2 linked regions of the Notamacropus eugenii genome follow. The protein of the gene in region 2 interacts with the protein of the main gene of each other region in a pairwise test. Links are inferred from orthologs where the notes say so. Each region holds a gene or a part of one and is shown on either strand. Other genes may lie near its edges. The genes, in order: LRRFIP1 and FLII.

Evidence for each region.
Region 1: the proteins of FLII (region 2) and LRRFIP1 interact in binary tests that used the Homo sapiens proteins (3 or more experiments, as listed by UniProt). The link is inferred for Notamacropus eugenii from reciprocal best matches to the Homo sapiens genes FLII and LRRFIP1.

What each region holds. Positions count from the first base shown.
Region 1 is NC_092873.1:61,352,434-61,356,342, forward strand, and holds the start of LRRFIP1 (leucine-rich repeat flightless-interacting protein 1), read right to left. Parts: upstream 3,082-3,909; 5' UTR 3,021-3,081; coding exon 2,925-3,020; intron 1-2,924.
Region 2 is NC_092874.1:335,785,215-335,789,123, forward strand, and holds the start of FLII (protein flightless-1 homolog), read right to left. Parts: upstream 2,664-3,909; 5' UTR 2,590-2,663; coding exon 2,527-2,589; intron 1-2,526. UniProt on the Homo sapiens protein: Is a regulator of actin polymerization, required for proper myofibril organization and regulation of the length of sarcomeric thin filaments. It also plays a role in the assembly of cardiomyocyte cell adhesion complexes.

The sequences.
Region 1 (3,909 bases), on a different chromosome or scaffold from region 2:
AATAGGAAGACAAATGTGAAGCAGTCCTTGCCCCTCAGCTCCTCATCTAAGAGGAGGAAAAGACACGCAAAGCATTCCATTGTCACACTGGAAGCAGATCCAAGCTAGAACAGGACAACTAGGCTTGATTATGAATGCTTATGGGTAGAGAAGAGTTGTCTGTTAATTGTTTGAGCATTCACACAGTGCTAGGCACGCAGCAAAATCACAGGGGGAGCTGGGGTTGGAGAGAAACCCATGGTGGCCCCTCCTGATGACCCAATCCTGAATCTGCACAGCTGGGAGGGGCAGTTACAAACACACTGAAGAAAGACCCCATGTGTGCCCCTGCACACAGGCTTCCCCTGGGCCTCGGCATAGATATTTTTAACATTTCCCTTTAAAAGTATTCAATTAGGAGCTACCATTCTGAAGGGAAATGAACAGGCCCCAGCAAGGCCTTAATGACGCAGAAGTGGGTTACATCTCCTACAAAAGCGTGAGCTCCAGCAAGAAAAGTTTGCCACTAGAAAGTCTGAGAAGAACCTTGCATGCAACCATCACCATATTCCGGGCTCAGCTCAGCACTGGGAGGCAGGTTGTAGACTAAGGGTATAGCTGGAATAGTTTCAGACCTGACCAATATGAAAGCCTCTAAGTCATCACTGGCCCTTGAAGGCCAAGGCATAGCCTGGCCCCCACATGGGAACCTGAGGAGAGCTGTTCCTTCCCACGTCACATTTGCCAAAGCTCTTTCTCTTCAGGGCTCCCACACTCTGGCCACCCTGCAGAAGAAAGGTTGGCCTAGTACAACTGTCCATGCTGGTAGCTGGGTGTGGTGCAGCCCAGAGGGCCCTCACTCTCACTCAGGTCTAAGAGACCTGAGTCATCACAGGCTTTCTGGTGTGAAAACTCCTTTCACCAATGCTGATTGGCTACTGGTCTTTTACTTAGCCTAGCCAGTTTCCTGGGGAATTAAAGAGGAGAGCAGTTAGCTCATGGTCACAAAGCCAGAAAGAGTCAGACAGAGTTTAGACCCAGGTTCTTCTACCTCCAGAACCTACCCTCTGTGACTTTCAAAGCAGTTTTAGAAGCCTTACTGGATTCGAGGTCGGTGAGACCTCTGTCTCTCTAGCTACACTTTTCCTCTGTTGTCCAGTACCCTTTTTCTCCCAAACAACCCTCCATGTGAGATTGGCATTCCAACTCCTATCAGAAAGAGGAGGAAGGAGGCATGAGGAGGAAAGTCCAGGAAGCATCTGAGGCTTGCCAGGAGCCCTGGGGGAGGGAGGGCATGCCTAGGGTCCCTTACAGCTTTAAATCTATGATTCTAGGATCTCGAGTATTTACTTTGTTGTAAACTTTGGATAATCTGAGGAGAGACCACTAACATGCAAAGGAAGCTAAAAGCTCCCAGGGGGAAAGCTATGAGACCTGTGAATTCACTGGTATGAGGAACTCCCTCTCCAAGGGAGGCCATGCCTCCTCCACCAATTATATTCCTAGCAGCTGCCTGAGAGATTGAATGAGCTGCTCAGGGTCACAGAGGCAGGATGAGGCAGGCTGGACTGGAACTGGGGTCTTCCAGGCTCTGAGGCCAACACCTCACTAAGGCCACAGTGCCTCACAGAGGAGGGGGTTTTTCACAGAGGTTAGAATCATGAGTTGGCTCTAACGAGGTGGGATGGGGTTGCCAATGCTCTACCTGTGAGGTTCTGAGGCAGCCACTTGCCTCCTCCTCTGCCTCAGTTCCTTATCTGTAAAATGACCTGGGAGGCTGGTGCCCAGTCCTGTAGGCTAGAGAAGTGGCATCTGCTTGGAATGAGGTTAACTGAGGGCAGGGGCAGCCTCAGTTTTGCCTTTGTATTCTCAGTCATCAAATAATAAATAACGAAGTCATTAGATAATAAGAATGAAAGCCAATCAGATAGAAGAGAATTGACTGCTTTGTCACCTCTAGGTGGGAAGATGGGACAACTCCTCCTAGAATATCCACTTAGAGAGTCCCGGGCCAGCTTCCCTCCCTTTTAGGGGTAGTCTTTTCCCAGCAGAATGGAAGCCCCCAGAGGCCAGGGCCTGTCTTTCTTTTTCCTAATATTTGTATCCTCAGGGTTTAGCACAGTGACAGGCACACAGTAAGCCCTTAAATAAAGGCTTGTTGACTGACAGACTGAATACAAGGTCATTGAAGGCAGGAAGCGATTTTCCGCTCTTTATCCTCAGTGTCTAGTGCTATGTTTGGTACACAGTAGGCACTTCATAAATGCTTGCTTGCTTGACAGCTAGCAGCAAGCCTCCCACTCTTCTCAAAGACAAACCCTTCTGCCCAAAGGATCTAGCATTTAAGAGGTGAAAGGGACCCCAAGGGGCATCGGGTCCAGCTCTCTAATTGTACAGATTAAAAAGAGCTAAACTGGATTTAACCACTGTTCACTCCACTACACAGGTGGTAAGGAGAGCCACATTTGGACCCAGAGGCCATCTAGTCTAAATCTCTCATTTCTGAGATGGGGAAACAGAGGGCCAGCGAGTTTAAGAGACATTGCAGCTAGAAGGGGCCTCCCGAGCTTTCTAGTGAAATCCTCTCATTTTACAAAGGGAGAAACTGAGGCCTCGGGCTCAGAGGCTTAAAGCTGGTAGGGGTCTCCCAAGCCATCTAATTCAGCCCTTTCATTTTACAAATGGGGAAACTGAGGACCGGGGAGATGGAAGCGCCGCCGGCTCCTCGGGCTCAGAACCTTAGATCTGGAGAGGGCCTTCCAGGCCATGCGGCCGCCCCCAGTCTCCGGCCGGGCGAGCTAGACGTCCAGGGAAGCCGCAGGCGGGCTCTTTGTGTGTCCCCGCGCCCGGCCGGCACAGGCGGCCCGGCGAAGGTCACGGTCAGCCCCGGCCCCAGCCCCCGACCCCCAGCCCCGGCCCCAGCCCCGGCCGGCGCACCCACCCACCTCGCGGGCGATCTGGCTGAGCGTGTCGTCCTCCGCCGTGAGGCGCTCCCGCTGGGGGAGCCTGCGGCGCCCGGAGCCCTGAGTGCCCATCTCCATCTGCCGCCTTCCCCCCGGGCTCCCAGGCTCCGGCTCTGGCTCCGCAGCTGGCCCCCGCCCCGCCCCCGGCCGGCCCCGCCCCGCCCCCGACCAGCCCCGCCCCGCGCCTGGGCGTCCTGACGTCAGCCATAGGGGCCGGGGGGGCCGGGGACCGCGCCGCGGGCTGGGAGGCCTCGGGAGAAAGGCAGGGAGTTTCCCATCATCCTCCAGTAGTGATGGGCGGCCGGGCCGCAGGCGTGCCCACGAAAGCATCCGACCAACGAGAGCAGTCCCAACGTGCAGCGGACTGCCCGGGGGGGACGGAGAGCAGTGAGTTCTCCATCACCTTGGGAATGGCAGAAAACTGTGGTTTTTACTTTAATTTTATTTCAAATTTTTTAAAATATCGACACAGGAAATAGGAAGTAAAAGGAGCATGTGAGCATGTCCTTATACATTGAAGAGCAGAGGAGAGGCTTGTATGGGACATTAAGAATCTTCACTAAGTTGAGCTTGCTTTAATATTTTGTGTGGAGATTTCATATTTTTTGTGCATTCATATCCCAGTCAACATTTTTAACAAATTTTAACAACTTTCCAAGAAGTTAAAATGGGAAAACTTTAAGGTCGTGCAATAGAAACTCGCTAAGAAAATGCAGGTTGGCACCTTCTCTGCAACTTATGAACTTCAGAGTTGCTTAGAGCACTGAGAAGTGAACACAGTCACTTGGGTTGTTGTTTCTTGGAGGAGAGACTAAAACCCAGGTATTCCCGCTTGGTTCTGAAGTCATCTGTCTTCCCAGCATGCTGTGCTGCTTTATTTAAAGCATTTTTAAAACTCTAGCTGTATGCTAATGGGATAGGCAGCAGGAAGGTAGAGAATTTCCATCACTCTCTTGTGAAAGTGTCC
Region 2 (3,909 bases):
TGTATAATCTATATAAAATTGTTTGCTTTCTCAAGGAGAGAGGAACGGAGGCGGAGGGTAAATTTGGAACTCAAAATTTTAAAAAATGAATGTTAAAAGTTTTTGTTTACATGTAATTGAGAAAAAATAAAATCATAGGGGAAAACGGGGTGGGGGGAAAGAGCCTACTATGTGCCAGGCACAGTGCTAAGTGCTGGGGATAAAAAAAGAAGGAAAAGATAGTTCCTGCCCTCAGTCTAATACTGCCTCTTTAACTAATGGTGGTATTTCTGGTAAGAGTGGGTCTTCCCAGTACCTCTGATACATCACAAGCTCACTGATCTAGAGCTCGAAACAATTTCAGGGGTCATTTAATCCACTCCCCTCATTTTACAGTTGAGGAAATTGAGGCCTAGAGAGGTTAACTGATTTGTCTAAAGTCAGTAGCAGAGCCAAGATTCGAACCCCAAACCTTTAACTCCAAATTCAGTGCTCTCTCCACTATGCCACCCCACTATCCTTTACATTTGGAAAGACAGAGTCAATATTTAAAAACAAAAACACTTTTGAAGTCTTCAGCTCTCTGGGACAGAAAAAAACTCTGAGAGATCCTTATAGACATTCCTCTGATTCTATCCCTATTATCACTGAACCTTCAAGGCCTCCAGAGACCTAACCCTAGCCCTCTACTTTTAGAAATTCCACACACCAATGAGGTTAGATCCTGAGTCAATTTCTAAGAAAGGCATATTTTTTTCAGTTCCCCTCTGATGCTTAGCTCCTGCTCTGCCCCACTCTCAGAAAAGAACATGACTGTTAAACATTACAAAATAAAAAAAAAAAAAAAGAACATGACACAATACTCAGAGATCCCAGACCAACCTCCCAGATCCATCCACACAGATCTTGGGACTCATACATATATGCATATTCTCCAGCACCTCCCCAACACACAAACGTTGACATACATATATACTCTTTTTCTTCAAGTCTCTCAAAGCTCAAGACTGGGGGAAAATGCATCACCAGATCCCAACTGTGAGTCATATTAATATTTTAATACTTAACATCCCAGGAACGGAGATCATTTCACTCAGAGGCTGGAAGGCCTCTAAGATGGCCCTTACACGTTCCTGCCTAATGGGCTGACAGATGATTATCTCAGGGGGGAAAGAGAAAAATGTGTCTGTGCAAAGACTGAACCACAGACTATCAGAGAAAGAAGAGACCTCAGAACCCCTGTGACCCACAGAGGAGGAAATGATTGAGGCCCAGGGATTATAAACAGGTCTCTTCACACACAATAATATCCAATCCCCTGCATTGGCCATACCTACTTCTTCCCAGCTTAAGGCCCTGATTTATCAATCAATCGATTGGTCAGCAAGCAGTTATCAAGCACCTGTGTGCTAGCCAAGCAAAAATGAAACCTCCCTTCCCTTAGAGTTTACATTCTATCTGGTTATCCAGGATATTTTCTTGACTTCCCAAGAATCTCTGATTAAGTTCCCTGAGTAGACTCAGCACCTGACAAATTGATTTTTGTCCTAGGTAATATGATGCAGATGAACTAAGAGTCTGGACTCATTTTAAAAGTAGGGGTGATGGTGGGAAGTGTCCTTAAAAGGTCACTTGGTCTCTCATTTGGGGGTGAGGGCTGAGGATGACTGAAGCAGGACAACAGGTCTAAGAGGGTCCCATTTAAAAGAACTCTTACCAAGTGAAGTTACTTAAGCAGAACCAGAGGGAGCTTGGGGGCTCCACAGGGGCCTGGCTGGATGAGAGCCACATGAGGGACAGGAAGAAGGCCTAGACCCTCCTCCTGACGAAACGTAATAGAGCAGTGGGATTTAGCCCTGGGTTGGGAAGTCAAGAGTCTTGGATTCTCTGGGAAGGCTGGTCCCTTCCCCCTTTTACTCTCCAGAGTCTTTCACAGCTCCGATGTTCCATGCTCTCAGCTTGGGTGCTTCCCATTGGATGAGTGGTGCCCGCCCTAAAGGACCGGCTCTGTGGAGCGGGTCCGAGGGGCTCCTGAGCACCCGTGTATCTTAGTGTGAGGGAAGGGAAGGTCACTCAAAACTGGGCGGTTCGGTGGAAAATGCACCCAGTCTGAAGTCCGAGGTCCTGGGTTCCGTTCTAGCTCTATCATTTGCTACCTGTGTGACTCAGGAACAAGTCACTTAAGGCTCTCCCTGGGCCTCAGTTTCCTCATTTGTATCGCACTGGGTTTGGATCCTCCAAGGTGCCCTGCACCCCTAAATCTATGATCCTGGGACCCTTAGGGTACGGAGTATCCGTCCCGCCGCAGGATGGGAGGCAGATCTGGGAAACAGGCAGTTCTCCCCTTGGTCCGGCAGGCCCCTAGTGAAATACACCCACTCCCCGCCCCAGAAGGGGAGCACGGAGGAAGGGCGGAGGGATCATGTCTTTGGGGGGGCCTGAAAACAGTTCCCCAAGCCCTGGGGGTTCGGTGGCCGTGTGGGCGTGCAGCTGGGGGACAGGCCCGGCAGGGGGGCCGCCGGCCCCTCGCCCCCACCCCAAGCCTACCTTAAAGTCGTTTCCGCTGAGGTCCACGCCCCGAATGAAGGGCAGCACCCCGGTGGCGGCCATGGCTGCGGAGGTTGCGGCTGCGGCTTCCCGGAGACTGGAGACGGTTCCTGGGGTGGGGCGGCCGCGGGGCAGGGCCGGTGGGGAGTTGGGGGGCGGGATCAACCGGGCTACCCCGCCCCCAACCCCCGCACCGCCCCTTTAACTCGCGCAGGCCCGGCCCGGGGCGAACCAGGAAGCTGGGAGCTCTAGATTGTGGTCCGAGAGAGGAGGAGCAGCGCAGGGCCTCAGCGAAGGGGAAGGAGCTCGCCCAAAATCCGAGGTGGAATTTGAACCCAGGTCTCTGGCTTCGGGGGACTCTGGAGTCGGGGGCGGTGTCAGTCAGCCTAGGCGCAGGAAAGCTGGTTTTCACATCGGTTTACATTTATATGGGTACGCACCCCATGCAATAAATGCTTAATCCAGGCCTCCTTCCTTCACAAAGAACCATGTAGAACTGCAAAGGACCATGTGGATGAGGAAGTTCAGCCTCCTCTTTTTACAGGTGAAGAAACAGGCTCAGAGGTTATGGAATCGTAGACCCAGAGCTGGAAGTGACCTTAGAGGCCATCTAGTTTACCTCACTTTACAGATGAGGAAACTGAGACCTGGGCCGAGAAATGATTTTCCCAAGATCACACAGGTCCCAGGTGTCAGTGATAGTCTATGAACCACCAAGCCTAGTGCTCCGGAGTACCCTTTGCTAAGGAGTAGAGCCTACAATCTTAACTGACGCCAAACGGGCACCCTTCAATCCCAATTGCTTTTGATATGTACAGACGAAAAGGGAAACAAGCCCAGCGACTCGGGATGTTTGAAGAATCAGCCCTGAGGGGCTTCAGGAACCCAGAGCCCTGGAATCTCCGATAAAGGTGATTCCTTGGGCTCAGGTCCCTTGGGCTGGTTCCCTGAGGCCCAAAATCCCTTTGAGTAGGGGCTTTGGGTCCCTAGGGACTTGTGCTTGTGCCAACCCCAGCACAAAAGAGAGATCCTCATCCCAAAAGGCTGGGGAATATGACTTACCCAGCCCTGAAGGGGTGGGAGTCTCTTTGGCAGAAAGACAAAGGTAAAATGAAACAAAGTTGTCAGATTCTGCAACAATGTATTCATCAGCAAGGGCAGAGGAACCACCACATTCTAACCCAGATACCTCAGTCTCCCATATGTGATTATACTGAAGGAGTAGGAATGATACTTACATTAGATCGTACACAAGTAAAACTGCTTGAAACAATACGATCTTGAAAGCAGTGAGGGCATAACTTGCTTAGATGCTTCAGGGAGAGGAAGATACCAAAAGAAAATGGGGGGAAAAATCAGGTGGTCTTCTTAATGCACCCCAAA